3 linked regions of the Xenopus tropicalis genome follow. The protein of the gene in region 2 purifies or fractionates together with the protein of the main gene of each other region. This does not show direct contact. Links are inferred from orthologs where the notes say so. Each region holds a gene or a part of one and is shown on either strand. Other genes may lie near its edges.

Evidence for each region. Proteins that work in one complex are often made in the same cells at the same time.
Region 1: the proteins of alk (region 2) and grb2 purify together in Homo sapiens (affinity purification with western blotting; 3 studies listed by BioGRID and IntAct, with this or other methods). This does not show direct contact. The link is inferred for Xenopus tropicalis from reciprocal best matches to the Homo sapiens genes ALK and GRB2.
Region 3: the proteins of alk (region 2) and shc1 purify together in Homo sapiens (affinity purification with mass spectrometry; 3 studies listed by BioGRID and IntAct, with this or other methods). This does not show direct contact. The link is inferred for Xenopus tropicalis from reciprocal best matches to the Homo sapiens genes ALK and SHC1.

What each region holds. Positions count from the first base shown.
Region 1 is NC_030686.2:44,448,878-44,453,956, reverse strand, and holds the end of grb2 (growth factor receptor-bound protein 2), read left to right. Parts: intron 1-972; coding exon 973-1,095; intron 1,096-1,601; coding exon 1,602-1,806; intron 1,807-2,154; coding exon 2,155-2,340; 3' UTR 2,341-3,196; downstream 3,197-5,079. UniProt on the Homo sapiens protein: Non-enzymatic adapter protein that plays a pivotal role in precisely regulated signaling cascades from cell surface receptors to cellular responses, including signaling transduction and gene expression.
Region 2 is NC_030681.2:6,145,872-6,152,138, forward strand, and holds part of alk (ALK tyrosine kinase receptor), read right to left. Parts: coding exon 6,184-6,267; intron 4,435-6,183; coding exon 4,303-4,434; intron 3,993-4,302; coding exon 3,848-3,992; intron 2,940-3,847; coding exon 2,757-2,939; intron 2,386-2,756; coding exon 2,287-2,385; intron 2,153-2,286; coding exon 2,000-2,152; intron 1,194-1,999; coding exon 1,080-1,193; intron 407-1,079; coding exon 220-406; intron 1-219. UniProt on the Homo sapiens protein: Neuronal receptor tyrosine kinase that is essentially and transiently expressed in specific regions of the central and peripheral nervous systems and plays an important role in the genesis and differentiation of the nervous system.
Region 3 is NC_030684.2:145,087,372-145,092,254, reverse strand, and holds part of shc1 (SHC-transforming protein 1), read right to left. Parts: intron 3,338-4,883; coding exon 3,267-3,337; intron 2,785-3,266; coding exon 2,721-2,784; intron 1,888-2,720; coding exon 1,768-1,887; intron 1,604-1,767; coding exon 1,550-1,603; intron 1,272-1,549; coding exon 1,220-1,271; intron 1,123-1,219; coding exon 996-1,122; intron 905-995; coding exon 724-904; intron 645-723; coding exon 584-644; intron 368-583; coding exon 221-367; intron 1-220. UniProt on the Homo sapiens protein: Signaling adapter that couples activated growth factor receptors to signaling pathways. Participates in a signaling cascade initiated by activated KIT and KITLG/SCF.

The DNA of each region.
Region 1 (5,079 bases), on a different chromosome or scaffold from region 2:
TGCCAGTTAGGGAATAAACACAGGCCGAGAGTCAGTCCCTTGTGGCATCAGCCTTGCTGTCCCTTTGGGCCGCCCATACAGAAATGTCCCTGGAGGAGAGGTGGATTTTTATCACTTATAGAGCTGAAGCTCTCAGAGTTGGAATTTGAACTGCAGACTGTTTGCTGGGGCTGTAATTAGAGTAGAGAGATAATGCAGCCATAACACCATAAATAAGGAATGAATCGTGCGTATTGTAGGCCTATCTGTATCAGACTAAGGGTAATGGCACATTGGGCAATTCCACCTGCCGTATTCACCGACTGCAAACTCCACTTGTGATTTTTTTTTTTTTCTTTAAAGGTTAAATTTCTCCACTTCTCATTTTTACACAGCGTTTTAATGACCATTTATTTCTGAAATGTTGTTCTGCCTTTCCTGTGTCACTGTGTCTTTGGGTGATTCTCCGCTGTGCTATGATTGTGCTACTCCCTGACTTACTCCACTGTGAAAATGTCATAAAATGCAGTTTGCTCCTTTTTTGTCAAAAAGACAAATTCACTTTAAATTGCTTGTGAATATGGTTTAGGAGGTTATGGTTCAAAGTAGAGGAAGAAACATTTGCACACTGTCCCACAAAGGCTCCAAATAAAGTGACCGTCTGTAGAAGATGTTGTGCAACTTCAGCATAGCACAGTTCCTTTTTTAAATTTGTGTCTTTGGGAATACGGAGAATGCATTTACATCTGTTTTACCATCACTTTTAGCCCCCCCAGAACAGACTTTTTCCACTTTTTGTGAATCCCCCCTTGGAATTGCACCATATACCATTTCTCTAACACATAACAGTCCCCTCTTGTGGTTTTTTTGCTTGCATGCTCTCCCTTTTCCTGTTCTTTTAATCTCCAGTTCTCTAATAGTATTTCCCGCTAGCCACAGCTCTCCCTCTGTGTGTTTTCTGCCCTTGAGTTTAATGGCGTTCGATTTCCGTAGGTGGTTTTTCGGTAAAATCCCCCGTGCCAAAGCAGAGGAGATGCTTGGAAAGCAGAGACACGATGGTGCCTTTCTGATCCGAGAGAGTGAAAGTGCTCCTGGAGATTTCTCCTTATCAGTCAAGTGAGTGTTTTTCTTATGGGGATCTGTATTTTTTTTGGCAGTGCGGTCATGAATAGGGCCTGTTCCCCTTTACAATAACTTTTAGTATGACATAGACATTAATATTCTGAGACAATTTGCAATTAATTTTCATTTTTTATGGTTTTTCAGTTTCTCAGCTTTTCGTTCAGCAGCTCTCTGCTTGCTAGGGTCTTGTTTACCTTAGCAACCAGGCAGAGGTTTCCGTGAGAGACTGGAATATGAATAGGAAAGGGACTGAATAGAAGGATAAGGAATAAAAAGTAACAATAATAAAATTGCAAGCTCACGGAGCAATAGATTTTTGGCTGCCGGGGTCAGTGACCCCCATTTGAAAGCTGGAAAGATGTAGAAGAGATAATAAAATAAAACTTAAAAAAATAATGAAGATCAATTGCAAAGTTGTAAGGAATAGGGCCATCTATAACATACTAAAAGTTACCTTAAACTTTAAGGAGCATCTGTAAAAATTCACCCATCTTCTTCAGATTCGGCAATGACGTGCAGCACTTCAAGGTCCTACGGGATGGAGCCGGCAAGTATTTCCTGTGGGTGGTAAAGTTCAACTCGCTGAATGAGCTGGTGGACTACCACAGGTCCACATCCGTGTCTAGGAACCAGCAGATCTTCCTACGAGACATCGAGCAGGTTCCACAGGTACACGGGGGAGACAGAGCCACGAATTTGCTACAGGTATATAGAGGGGAGGGACAGGCAAGAGACTGTGCTTTGGATAGAAGCGCGGTGCATTTATACAGCTTTGTGTGGGATATAATGTATCTCGTTACTAAAGAGGAACAAAATCTCATCTTCTCTGATAACATTGGGCCTTTTCTCACATTTCCCACCTACCTTCCTGCCTGTCTGGTGTGGCTATTTGGGTTCTGTCTGTGTATAACTAGGGTGCTTTGTGGTGCATATATATTTCTGCTTGTAGGAATGTTGTGCTATGTATAATAGGTGCATGCAGAATGAGGGAGGGGTATCCTGTGTTATTAAGGCTAAGCCCCCCTGACATGTCGATCTTTAACCTCACCGCAGCAACCGACCTATGTGCAGGCGCTATTTGACTTTGACCCACAAGAAGATGGTGAACTTGGATTCCGACGAGGAGACTTCATCCAAGTTGTAGACAACTCCGACCCCAACTGGTGGAAGGGGACATGCCTCGGCCAAACTGGCATGTTCCCACGCAACTACGTGACACCCGTTAACCGTAACATGTAACCAGAGTCGGCAAGGAACCAGTGGCCAAGGAGGAGCACAGGCAGACTGATCTGGGAGGCATTTCGGACTGACTGAGCGACCAAAGGGAGAGAAAATCTTTACCCGGGGGAAGCCAAGACAGACTGACCAAGACAGACAGATGACTGTCTAAATGCAGCCCCGCACACCAGCAAGGACAGTTTGCCCCGGGATTGTCATAAATACTCAATAACAGGATAGAAACATGGATAGATCATTAACTTGGGGGGGGTGGGTGGGGGGACATAGACATATATTGTAAGAATGCTTATGTTTTGACTGCCTCAATCTGGTTGGCTGCTGCCCTTTGACTGACAGATGACAGCATTGCAGAATAGCGCAGGGGGCGAGGGTGGGAATGGTACGCATTCAGTATAGCTCAAACCCAACTCTATAGACCGACAGACTCGACTGTATCGCAGATGTTATTGCTTCCTGGGCCTGGATCTGAGACGGCGATCCCACAAGTCTGGCTGTGCTTTGTGCAGCCGCCACGCACGCTTTCCACAAGGTGAACCCCTTGGCCCAACGTTGAACTTTTTTTTGGGTGGGAGGGCGAAGGGTCCGACCGACTCTCGAGGGGAAGGGGATGGGCGATTGTTGATGTTTGATTAAGAATGCCAAAACTTACCTTTAAATTAAAACAAAAACAAGAGACTTTTTTTTTTAATTAACAAACTCCCTTTACTGCTGCTGTTTCTTCCCCACGTCCCATTCCTGTTTCACCCCCCCCATCCTTATCATGCATGTGTTAGCCAAGCACTAAGTACACACGCCTTGGAAAATAAAATGCGCAGAAGTGAGAGCTGCCATATCCACTCATTTTCTCTCTATGCAAGTCTGGTTCTGCTGGTTTGATTGTAAGGGGCCACAAACTCTATCCCCCCCGTTTTTCTGGAGTAGGGAGCCCCCCCAAATAAACAAGGTTGGTGGGGGGTGGAGCGGTAGCTGGCACATATATGCCTGTCTAGCCTGGTGTCTGTTCAGCTGACCGGCCTCAGGCATCTTTACATGATATTGACATTTTGTATCTCACTCCCACAGTACAGACAGCAGTTGGCCTAATCTACTATTCTATGGTTCTGTCATTTAACACAAGTACTGGCAGGAAAATACGTTTGGGATTGGGGCTGGGAGGGGGCCAGCAGGGATCTGGCAGGGTATTGGTTATAACCTAGGGTTTTGAACGACAAGAGGCAAAGGACACTTTTAATATCACACAATTATTTCAATTTCTGTGAGGTTGCTAGGGGAATTCACCCTAACAACCTGGCAGTGGTTTGACTGACCGGGTAGGAATGGCTTTATGCTTGGCAGTAGCTTCAGAAGTGGTTCAGGGTAGAATGATGCAGAGAATCGGCCTCTGCCCACTATGTCTAGCTATCGGAGCAGTGGTTCCTGGCACGTGGGCCGATGTTCCAGCTTGCCCTGGTTGTTTAAAGGGAATTAAAAAGTATTAAAAATATAAATGATAATATGCCCTTTTAGCAAGCAAGCAAGTATAAAGTATAGCTTATATACAGCACAGAGTATTTATACTTATGTATTGGAGCTGCCATACTACTTGCCTCTCCTGCTGTATTCATAACCACACAGCATTGCTTATAGAACAGAGGAAAGCAATATGGCAGCTCCCATGTTATACCGCAATATTAAGAAAGGAGTGTTTTGTTCACGAAGCAAGCCATGCTCTGAGCATCTAAGTGCAATTAAATGAGAAAGTCATGCAAATAGGGTCTGTTTCCCGTTAAGTATTGAATTTTTAGCCATGTCCTCAAAACCCTACGGTGGTAACGTAAGTCCCTCACTGAGGACAGCTGGACTGCCTCTCTGGCCCCCTCCTCCTTGCCCCTCTGACTCTCGGTCCATCTTATCTGCTTCCTCCAGGTCATCGTGTATGGGGGGGCTTGGAATGCACTGGGACCATATGATTGTCTCTTCGGGGATCTGTGTGTATCCTGCAGCCTTGCAGATTGGTAACTTGTGTGTGTATATGAAACCAATCAAATCAGTGTTTAATTAAAGAACGGCTTCTGTATTTAATCCTCCAATGCAGCATTCAGTAGATAGATGTTAACTGTTAATAATAATAATAATAATAATAATAAATCTGGTGTTTTGTTCACCTGACTGTTGGTAAACAGGTTTCATTTCTTCATGGAAATCCGGCTATCCCACAGCCACCTCCCCTGCATATGGGATCCATACCATCACTGCCTGCCCAGCATTTGCTTTGTTATTGTGGGCTCATAACCAGCAAAAGGTTCTTATTGTAGGCACATATATAAGTGAATTAAAAGCTTATACTTGTCTTTGTATTCAGAATTGCAGATAAATCTATCCACTCTTTGTACAACCAAGCTGTTCCCATGTTTTAGGGCTTTGTCTTCTAAGGGCTGTGGCACACGGGGAGATTAGTCGCCCGCGACAAAACTCCCTGTTCGCAGGCGACTAATCTCCCCGAGTTGCCATCACCTGCCATCCCACCGGCGAAAATGTAAGTCGCCGGTGGGATGGCACACGCGGCGGCACGATTTCCCAAAATCGCCGAAAGCCTCGCGAGGCAACTTCGCCGATTTCCCGAAATCCCACCGGCGACTTACATTTTCACAGGTGATGGCAACTCGGGGAGATTAGTCGTGGGCGACTAATCTCCCCATGTGCCAGAGCCCTTAAAGGTATTGCTTGGCTGTGTGTGTGAGACTTTTATCACTTTCTGCT
Region 2 (6,267 bases):
GATGAAGTGAGCTGATGATTTTGTCCTTTTAAAGACACTCTTCACCTTTAAATCAACTTTAACTATCTTGGAGACAGTTTGCCATTAGTCTTCATTTTGTTTGTGGTTTCTAATCTGGCTAGAAGAAATCATTAATAATAATTAAGGACCTAATTGTCCTACAATAGCACAGACTGAAGTGAATTCCAGGGCAAACTACAGACTGGAGGTTGCACTCACCTAATAAGGGAGATATTTTTGCGCGGTACTTCCTTGAGGTCGCCGATAGAGGTGACCTTCCCGGCAAAACAATAGTTGGGGTTATAGTCCGTCATGATGGTGGAGGTTCGGACCTTGCTGAGCTTATAGTCCGGGCTCTGCAGCTCCATCTGTATGGCCTGTAGCTCCTGGTGCTTCTTTCGGTACACTGGGAACAGAGCACAATATACTCTTTATTCGGTGCAAACGGCCTAACGTGGGAGACTGTGGCCCTCAAGGAGATGTTTATGGACCCCCCCAGCCTGACTAATCAGCCTGTTTGACTGTAGTTGATCAATAGTTGCTGTTCTGTTACTGCTATGCCATTGGTCTCAGATGAAACGTGAACTGGAATAACCCAACGAATTCTCCTAAAGTGTTAATTGCAATGAAGTGGACAAGCCGGGCAACATATGTTCTGCTATAGCGAGAGGCGCTCTGCTGCCCGACGGCTGGCACCGGGAATGGGAGCCGCGCGGTGTAATTAATGATGGATCAATGCACCGTGGGTCCCCGGGGGGGGGGATGAGTTTGTAGACCAGATGTTAAAGGCTTTGATGGTTCATTCTGCCCCGTGGCACAACCAGCTGAACATGCAGAGCGTCTGGGCCGAGGTTGCTCTGCCTTCTGGATAGAAGTCTTTTCAATAACTCTTTCCCACAATTCTTAGCTGATCAATAACAACTAAACTTTGATTAGCGAGTTGGAATCCTGCGCTAAAGGAGTAATTCATCCCTTGAGGAGCAGGGAATTCAGTCGCGCCTCTGCATTGATTGGATTGAATTAGAAGTGATATTAATGTAAAGACTGTCAGCTCTGTGGGCCAGAGCCGGGTCACTCACCTATCATTATCCCAGAGAAAGCCAATATGAGAGCCGCCACCAGGGCCGACGTCACAATGGACAAAACCAGCGACAGTGGCAGATGCGTCTCCTGGGCCGGCGCCAACGCCTCATCTGCAAACCATAGTGACATCACCATGAGATAACCATAGCAACCAGACTGCAATATTCACTATTTAATCCTTCAATTGCTCTGCAAGGTAATAGGGTTTAGCATTGGCTGACTGCATAGGAGGGGAGGCTGTAAGGGACCATGGTGCCGGCATCATTACGTTATGTATGTAACTGGAGGAGTCCCAAGCCGGACTTGGATTTCTTACTATTGAGTGCTATTCTGATACCTACTGGGAGCTGCTATCTTGCTCCCTTCCCATTGTTCTGCTGATCGGCTGCTGGGGGTGAGGAGGGAGATATCACTCCAACTTGCAGCGCAGCAGTAAAGTGTGCCTGAGTCTGAGCTTTCAGCCAGCGCTACACATTAGAACTGCTTTCAGCTAACCTATTGTTTCTCCTACTCCCATGTAACTGGAGGAGTCCCAAGCCGGACTTGGATTTCTTACTATTGAGTGCTATTCTGATACCTACTGGGAGCTGCTATCTTGCTCCCTTCCCATTGTTCTGCTGATCGGCTGCTGGGGGTGAGGGGGGGGGGGATATCACTCCAACTTGCAGCGCAGCAGTAAAGTGTGCCTGAGTCTGAGCTTTCAGCCAGCGCTACACATTAGAACTGCTTTCAGCTAACCTATTGTTTCTCCTACTCCCATGTAACTGGAGGAGTCCCAAGCCGGACTTGGATTCCTTACTTGTTCCGCTGATCGGCTGCTGGGGGTGAGGGGGGGGGGATATCACTCCAACTTGCAGCGCAGCAGTAAAGTGTGCAGGCTCTGTACATATGTTCAATAGAGCTGTAACCGACTCACCAATACAGGAGACCCCATCCTCAGCCAGGACAGTGCCGCGCTCACATAGACAGACGATTCTCTTGCTCTCGGGATCCAGGAGACACTCGTCCATCTCGCAGTGACTGCAGTTCAGGTGCAGTTTGATCTCCACCTCCCCGTGTCCCTCTATCACTGCAAAAAGCCAGAAAGCGAGATGGGAAATGGAAACACCAGCAGCCAATAAGGGTGAGATACTTTGCAATTGGTCTTTTTTTTATTATTGGTAGCGACATTCATACAGGAATGTACAGATAATATACAGTTACCTTTTAAGGGAGGGGTGTAGACAACCCCCCGGGGGCTGATAAAGGACACGCCTTCCAGCCCATCCATTTCTGCACTGTTACCCTCAGCAGCGTTTCCTCCTGCGGACAGTGGGGGGGCAGAAGGGCAGAATTAGCCGTTATTTGTGCGCTGGTGCAACTAATAAAGGGCTCCCCTAGGGATGAGTCTGCGGCCATAAGTTTTCAGGGTCCTTTTTTTATTTCTTACCCCTCGGGTAAGTGTTGTTCTTGGGTTGTTCTCTTTCCCATGGTCAGGCAAAGGGGAGGGGCTTGGGCACAAACTGGTAGTTCCATTGTGTTGATGTCCTTAATGGAACTCATGCAAATGACCTCAAGCTTTTCTGCAATAGGATTTAAGCTTTAAACAAATTCAGCCCAATAGAGGAGACCCCCAATACCATCTATCCCCCCCCCAGGGTGTATCTACAGCAAATAACATGGCAGATACTCACCAATATATCCCCCTCCTCCGCCTCCTGAGGAACATCCCCCTCCGCCCCCTCCGAATCCACCTCTAGTCTCCCAGCCCCACTTCTTAACGGCCTGGGGGCAGGATTCTCCACCAATGGCGCCTTCCATTAGGGACTTGCCCGCCCACGGTAACGCAGTGTGATCATTCCATCCGCCACCGCCACCTATAAATTATAAAGGATTTCACTGGTGAATCAACAATTTACTTTTAAAAACAGTCAGTGGTTCGGTGAGGTATTGGCGGGGCTCTGGTGAGGTGTGGGCGGGGTCTGGTGAGGTGTGGGCGGGGTCTGGTGAGGTATGGGCGGGGTTCTGGTGAGGTATGGGCGGGGTTCTGGTGAGGTATGGGTGGGGTTCTGGTGAGGTATGGGCGGGGCTCTGTTGAGGTATGGGCGGGGCTCTGTTGAGGTATGGGCGGGGGTCTGGTGAAGTACGGGCGGGGGTCTGGTGAGGTATGGGCGGGGTTCTGGTGAGGTATGGGCGGGGCTCTGGTGAGGTATGGGTGGGGCTCTGGTGAGGTATGGGCGGGGCTCTGTTGAGGTATGGGCGGGGTTCTGGTGAAGTATGGGCGGGGGTCTGGTGAGGTATGGGTGTGGCTCTGGCGAGGTATGGGCGGGGTTCTGGTGAGGTATGGGTGGGGTTCTGGTGAGGTATGGGCGGGGCTCTGTTGAGGTATGGGCGGGGCTCTGTTGAGGTATGGGCGGGGGTCTGGTGAAGTACGGGCGGGGGTCTGGTGAGGTATGGGCGGGGTTCTGGCGAGGTATGGGCGGGGCTCTGGTGAGGTATGGGTGGGGCTCTGGTGAGGTATGGGTGGGGCTCTGGTGAGGTATGGACGGGGCTCTGTTGAGGTATGGGCGGGGTTCTGGTGAAGTATGGGCGGGGGTCTGGTGAGGTATGGGTGTGGCTCTGGCAAGGTATGGGCGGGGTTCTGGCGAGGTGTGGGTGGGGTTCTGGTGAGGTGTGGGCGGGGCTCTGGTGAGGTGTGGGCGGGGCTCTGGTGAGGTGTGGGCGGGGCTATGGTGAGGTGTGGGTGGGGTTTGAGTGGAACCAGAGATGGCCAGGGTTTCTGTACCTGCTGCCCCTGATTTGCCATTCATTCCCGGGATGGTGTAATTGCTCTCCAGTCTCTCGGGGGGGATTACACTGGCCTTGGAGCGATACGCCCTTCCGCCCCCCCCTGCCGCTATCAGCAATGGGACAGGCTTTCCACTCTCCATCTGTTATGGGGGATATAATAACAGGGGAACAAGAAATCAGTTAGAATGAATACAGCTTGCAGAACTACAACTCCCAGAATCCTCACCAAAATACACGTTTAAGTAACTCCCCAATGTACATTCATTGACATTATTGCTATTTAGCAATTCAGCTCTCCTCCAATCAGTACCTTTATTTACAGGGTGCAAGGCATTGTGGGATACAGAGGCTTGGCTGGCAGGAAAGTGGCCTTTACTCTCCTTTGCCCTCGGTTCTTTCTCTCATAAGAGCTTATTGAAGTTGCTTTGTGCAAAAACAATATTATTTTACCTTGAAGACGTATGTTGCTCCGCCTCCGCCGCCTCCTCCTCCCGCCCACTCGCTCACACTGCCGTTAATCCGCAATTCATCCTCAATCTCAGTGTTTTCCCCAATACAAACCATCTGCAGCACAGAATTGGCCTATGGAGACAGAGACAGTTCCTCAGTGGGTTCCTCAGAGGGGTTGGATGGTTTCCCCCATAGCGACCAATACACCCAGGGATGGAGCAACAGATGGAGCCAACAACTGCCGGGCCAGGGGTCTTGTCTGATCAACTGTTTCAAGGTCTCTGTGCAAAACGGCCAATGTGGGCTTGGGGCTTGGCCATCAGATTGGGCCCAGGAACTTCAAGTTCTAAACCATGTGATGGGATGGATCTGCCCATGGGAGAGGTGCCTTACGCAAAGGTACAGGGAGGCCCCCCAACCAGCACTTGTAACTGGGAAGAGTGGGGTGAAATGGAACAACATGATGGGAATAGTAGGGCAAGATGGCAGCAGTGGGAAACAAAACCAAGATGGAGTTAGTAGGACAAGACAGACAGAGTTTGGCAAGATGGCAACTGTAAGGCATGATGGTGACAGTAGAAGAAGATGAAGAAAGTAGTGCAAAATGGAGACAGTAGGGCAAGATGGAGACAGTAGGACAAGATGGAGACAGTAGGGCAAGATGGAGACAGTAGGACAAGATGGGGACAGTAGGGCAAGATGGAGACAGTACGGCAAGATGGAGACAGTAGGACAAGATGGAGACAGTAGGACAAGATGGAGACAGTAGGACAAGATGGGGACAGTAGGGCAAGATGGAGACAGTACGGCAAGATGGAGACAGTAGGACAAGATGGAGACAGTAAGACAAGATGGGGACAGTAGGGCAAGATGGAGACAGTAGGGCAAGATGGAGACAGTAGGACAAGATGGAGACAGTAGGGCAAGATGGAGACAGTAGGGCAAGATGGAGACAGTAGGACAAGAGGGAGACAGTAGGGCAAGAGGGAGACAGTAGGGCAAGATGGAGACAGTAGGGCAAGAGGGAGACAGTAGGGCAAGATGGAGACAGTAGGGCAAGATGGAGAGTGAAGCTTCCAGGGCATGCTGGGAATTGTAGTCACTTGGCATGGGAAGGCTTTTCTCTTGCAGTTACTTGCCTCTCCCATAGGAATGAATGAGGGGACAGCAGAAAGTCAGACCCGGGGGGGTGGGGGCTGAACTGCACAAATCACAATGACATTATGAGAATGACCTTCATACAGGCCGTATATTGCTCAATTGCTGATTATAATCCAATTAAGTAGGTACATGCCTGCATAATTGCACGAAGCTTAATGACTTCATCAGCCAATTAATTTGCACTTGAACTTCGTTCTGCAAGTTAATGAGCTTCTGATGAACAAAATAAACCACAAAAATAAACGATACTGAGTAACAAGCCATGAACGTCTGGCTTTGATCCACCGCTTACTATGGAGCTGAACTAAGCAGGGGCCGGCCTACAGTGGTCACGTGACTATGGGAAGCCCCTGTTTTCCAGACATATCCCATATTATACATATTACATGCAACACTGATACTGAGTGACTAAAGTGTTGGGCTGGGCCTTCTAGAACCCACCACAAAACCTGAAATCCAGGGCCCACCGGAAATAAGATTTGGGCAAATTAATAGGATTCTGATGAGACTTGGCCTATCTGGCTCCTCGGGGGCAGGGAGACCCTTAATATATATTAATAATACAGTGATTGTTTTAGTTGTAGCCCTGCCAGGTGGGTCTGTCATATAACGTTACCCTGTCTACCCATCAGCAAGTTCAGAATTCTATGTAAATAAAAATAAAAAAGCTAACACTCCAAAAACCAACAGTTAGAATCCCGAAGTAACCAAAAGTCTTACCCGGGGGCAGGCGTCCTCTCCCTTCTGCCCAACCAGAATATACAGGATCTCGTCCTTCTGGAGCTCAAAGATCCCAATTAATGA
Region 3 (4,883 bases), on a different chromosome or scaffold from region 2:
CATGTCGGTACCATTAGTGCCCATTGGGTCTAGGAGAGACTGACCCGCAGACATGTCGGTACCATTAGTGCCCATTGGGTCTAGGAGAGACTGACCCGCAGACATGTCGGTACCATTAGTGCCCATTGGGTTTAGGAGAGACTGACCCACAGACAAGTTGGTACCATTAACACAAGGTTGGGGGGGGGGGTAACAAATGCAGGTTACGAATGGAACGCACTCATGTCGAAGATGTCCCTCTGGCCGTTTGCTGCCCGCAGAGGCTGCCGAGACTTCTCCAGGTTCTGGACATTGACGTAGGAGGGGTCATCGAAGAGATCGGGCCGATTCGGAGGCCGACTGCAGGGGACTGGAAATCTCTCCCTGCCTACGGGGGACAAGACAGTGTGAGTAATGAACTACCCCCACCCCATGAAGGGTCTGTAGCTTGGGGACATTTAGGGGAACCAAAGGGAGGTATATGGTCCAAGTACAGTAACTAACAGGGGGAGGAGCTATACAGCCATCTCCAGTAGGACATGCAATGTGGGGCTGCACATTAGGCACACAGGCAGATGGTACACTGGCCACTAGTGGCTCCTACCTTGCACTGTCGGCTGTGGCTTCCTGGAATCCTGTTCGGCACCAGAGACCTGTCCCACGGGCTGTGGGAGAAAGGAAAAGCTCAGCCCGGATCATGTTTCCTACAGCACCCTCTCTTCCTCTCTCTGCCCATGAACTTACCAGGGTGGCACCCATGTGATTTGGGCTTTGCCTAGGAACTGCCGGTGCTACCCCATCTCGCAGCCGCATATCTACTACTCCCCCAATAGGGGGCTCTTTCCCTGGGAAATCATTGTAATAGGCATGGTCTGGGAGCTCCTCCTCTTCCTCATCCCACGCCGACCCATCAAAACCAGCCATTCTGCCGGGAGCACGCAAGGGGAAGAGACAAAAGTGAAATTCCCTGACTATTCCTCTTACTTACCCTTTATTTAATAATGAGAGGCACTTACCTGTCATGGGGGGTGACCAGTTTGGGGGGATTTTTGAGGTATTGTTTGAAGCGTAGTTCAAAGGCCTGTCCTATTGTGCTGATCACGTCCTGAGCAAGGCCTTCTGGGCACTCCAGGATATGGCAGGCTGTGAGAGAGCACAGATGTGGTGACTCCTCCTACTGCAAGCAGCAATGGCTATATATATATATATATATATATATATATATATCTCTTGTACCCACCTCTCTGATTGACTGGATCTTTGGCCACATAAGCGACATACTCAGCTGTATCCTAAGGGGAACAAGAGAACGGATTGCAGGACAAGAGAAGCCTGTATGAGCCCCGCCCCCCAACTCCTATCCATACATTAGCTCCGCCTATTTCATACACCATTAAGCTGGCCATACGTGCTCCTATATAACGGTATGAAACAAAGATTGTTCCATTATACCTACCATTGATATCCAAAGGTTCGCCGTATCATAGCTAAAACTCATCCCCCTCCCATATACAAACACCCTCCCCCTCCCTCCCATATACAAACCCAGGCACACAGCCCCAGCACTTACGGGATCTCCCCCAGAAGCAAATGATATTGACTGCATGTGGTGGTTGGCGATGATCTGTAATGGAGGAAGAGACAAAGGCTGCAATTATTATCAGATTCCCCCTCTGCTGGAACCCAGAGGCCTAGAATGGTAGCCAGCGTGGCCAACCTCAGCAGGGCTAGTAGGAGGTCACATGACAAGACCTGTACAACATGAGGGCTGGGGCCCAGGTGTCTCACCTGTTTGCAGTCGGAGGCCATGAGGTTGAGGCTGCTGGTGGAGACGGTCAGAGTGATTGGCATGCCGGCGAACTTCAGGTTGCTCTTCCCTAGGATGGAGTTTAAGGACCGCCCACAAGTCTTTGGGGGGGGGACATGGAGAGAAAGAGTTAGGTAGGACTGACCAATACAATGGGCAGTGCAGCAGGCCAGGTAGGTAGGTAGGTAGGTAGGAAGCAGCAGGAGAGAAGCCAGGGAGAGAGGGAGGCCAAGTAGGAAAACATCAAAAGTCCAAAGTGGTAAAAACCAGTGCAAGATGGTTATACCCAAACAGCTAGCGGCTGCACATTGGCACCTGTGGCACATTGTAACTATGCCCACACAGTATTCATTCTATGTAGGGTTGCACACACCATCCTGCTACAGAATATGGATGCTGCATGGCTGATGAGCTAGCAGTATGGCTGCACCCACACACGCTGCATGGCTGATGAGCTAGCAGTATGGCTGCACCCACACACGCTGCATGGCTCTAGCAGTGCTGCATGCATGGGCTAGGGGCAACCCCAATCTGAACATAAGGGGGATGGCGGTGCTCTTAATAGGGCTGCTACCCCCAAGCAGCGGGGGGGGCTGTGATCCAGTCATTGGCTACAAGGGAACCCCCCATTGGTATGGCAGTGCAGGAACTGCAGGGAGAGCTGACCGCTCTGTCCCACAGGCCACACCCATCCATTAGCAGATGGAGTCCAGACACAATCAGGGCATATTGATCTGCCTGCTTTCCTTTCATTAACCTAATGCCTCCCTCTCTCTTTAACTCTTCCTGCCCCACAGGGGAGAGGCCCTCATTAGGTATATATGTCAGTCGGTGCCTGATAAATGAAGGGTTGGGAGGCCGGGTGCTATTTGGGTACAGGAGGGATGCTGGGAGTTGTAGTACATTATCTGCAGAGTGTTCGGTTCATAGTTACCTTTCGCCGTCGCATTGCCCCCTTTGCTCCTGGAACAGCATCGCACACCAGGCTTATGGCTTCCCTGCGCAGAGAAAGGCACCATTAGGGTACATATAGCAGGGGCCCTGGGGCAGGACTCCCATTAGCCAGCGCCAAATTGCCTCTCACTTCTCCCAAATGCCAGGAATCATTCGGATGGGCACACACAGGCCCACTGGTGCAGGGCATTACAGAATGAGAGCCTGTGGGCCAATCACTGGGGGAAGGAGCAGCTGATCCTGCAGCAGTATTGGCCATACATCCCCCACTGACTTTGAACTATATTCCTGCACTGCTGTGGGTATTACCGACACCCCATGCTGTTATACCCACTCACAGGTTGTGCCAATGTGGCACCTAATGCCATACATGTCACAATGTTATTAATAGGATATGTAGGTACCAGCTGGCTACGCTCGTGTCTACTGGCCATTACGTACCTACAATTGTATCAATGGAATCACTTGGCTGCTCAGCTATAGAATACAATGTACCCTTGGGAGGTGGGAGAGGATGGGGTCCTACCTTGTGACTTGAGTCCGGGTGTTGAAGTCCAAGGCTCTCATTGACTGCAGAACTTCCACACAGCCCATGTACTGCAAGGCAAGAGCACAACATGGCATTAGTCACTCCCGGGGTTCTATGTAGGCACTGGGGCAGGTAGAAGTGACCCTATAAGGCCACACAGGGGCAGCAGGATATGTTGGGCAGCAGGATAGCAAGGAAGGAAAGGAGGGAAGCAGCCCAGGAAGCAGGGGATACACAGAGTGATTTATACAGGAAGTGATGTCACCACGGCAGGAGGAACCACGGGTACTAACATATATGTGTGCGTGTGTTGGGGAACAGCAGGGGCAGCTATGGATTTACTCACATGAGTAAGTTAGAGTCAAAAAGAACAAGCATTTTATGGCAGTACTACTGTGTGTGGCATGTACATGTGGGCATATGGGTACAGCTATACAGCAGTGTGAGTACGTGTGTATGGGGGCATATGGGTACAGCTATACAGCAGTGTGAGGACGTGTGTATGGGGGCATATGGGTACAGCTATACAGCAGTGTGAGTACGTGTGTATGGGGGCATATGGGTACAGCTATACAGCAGTGTGAGTACGTGTGTATGGGGGCATATGGGTACAGCTATACAGCAGTGTGAGTACGTGTGTATGGGGGCATATGGGTACAGCTATACAGCAGTGTGAGGACGTGTGTATGGGGGCATATGGGTACAGCTATACAGCAGTGTGAGTACGTGTGTATGGGGGCATATGGGTACAGCTATACAGCAGTGTGAGTACGTGTGTATGCGGTAGGGTAGGAGCATAGACAGCAGGTAGGAGTAGTGGGTAGAGGTTGGGACTAGAGGGTCGGAGCACAGACAGCAGGTAGGAGTAGAGGGTAGAGGTTGGGACTAGAGGGTAGGAGCATAGACAGCAGGTAGGAGTAGTGGGTAGAGGTTGGGACTAGAGGGTCGGAGCACAGACAGCAGGTAGGAGTAGAGGGTAGAGGTTGGGAGTAGAGGGTAGAGGTTGGGACTAGAGGGTAGGAGCATAGACAGCAGGTAGGAGTAGTGGGTAGAGGTTGGGACTAGAGGGTAGGGGCACAGACAGTAGGTAGGAGTAGAGGGTAGAGGTTGGGACTAGAGGGTAGGAGCACAGACAGCAGGTAGGAGTAGTGGGTAGAGGTTGGGACTAGAGGGTAGGGGCACAGACAGTAGGTAGGAGTAGAGGGTAGAGGTTGGGACTAGAGGGTAGGAGCACAGACAGCAGGTAGGAGTAGAGGGTAGATGTTGGGACTAGAGGGTAGGGGCACAGACAGCAGGTAGGAGTAGAGGGTAGAGGTTGGGACTAGAGGGTAGGGGCACAGACAGCAGGTAGGAGTAGAGGGTAGAGGTTGGGACTAGAGGGTAGGGGCACAGACAGCAGGTAGGAGTAGAGGGTAGAGGTTGGGACTAGAGGGTAGGAGCACAGACAGCAGGTAGGAGTAGAGGGTAGAGGTTGGGACTAGAGGGTAGGAGCACAGACAGCAGGTAGGAGTAGAGGGTAGAGGTTGGGAGTAGAGGGTAGAGGTTGGGACTAGAGGGTAGGAGCACAGACAGCAGGTAGGAGTAGTGGGTAGAGGTTGGGACTAGAGGGTAGGG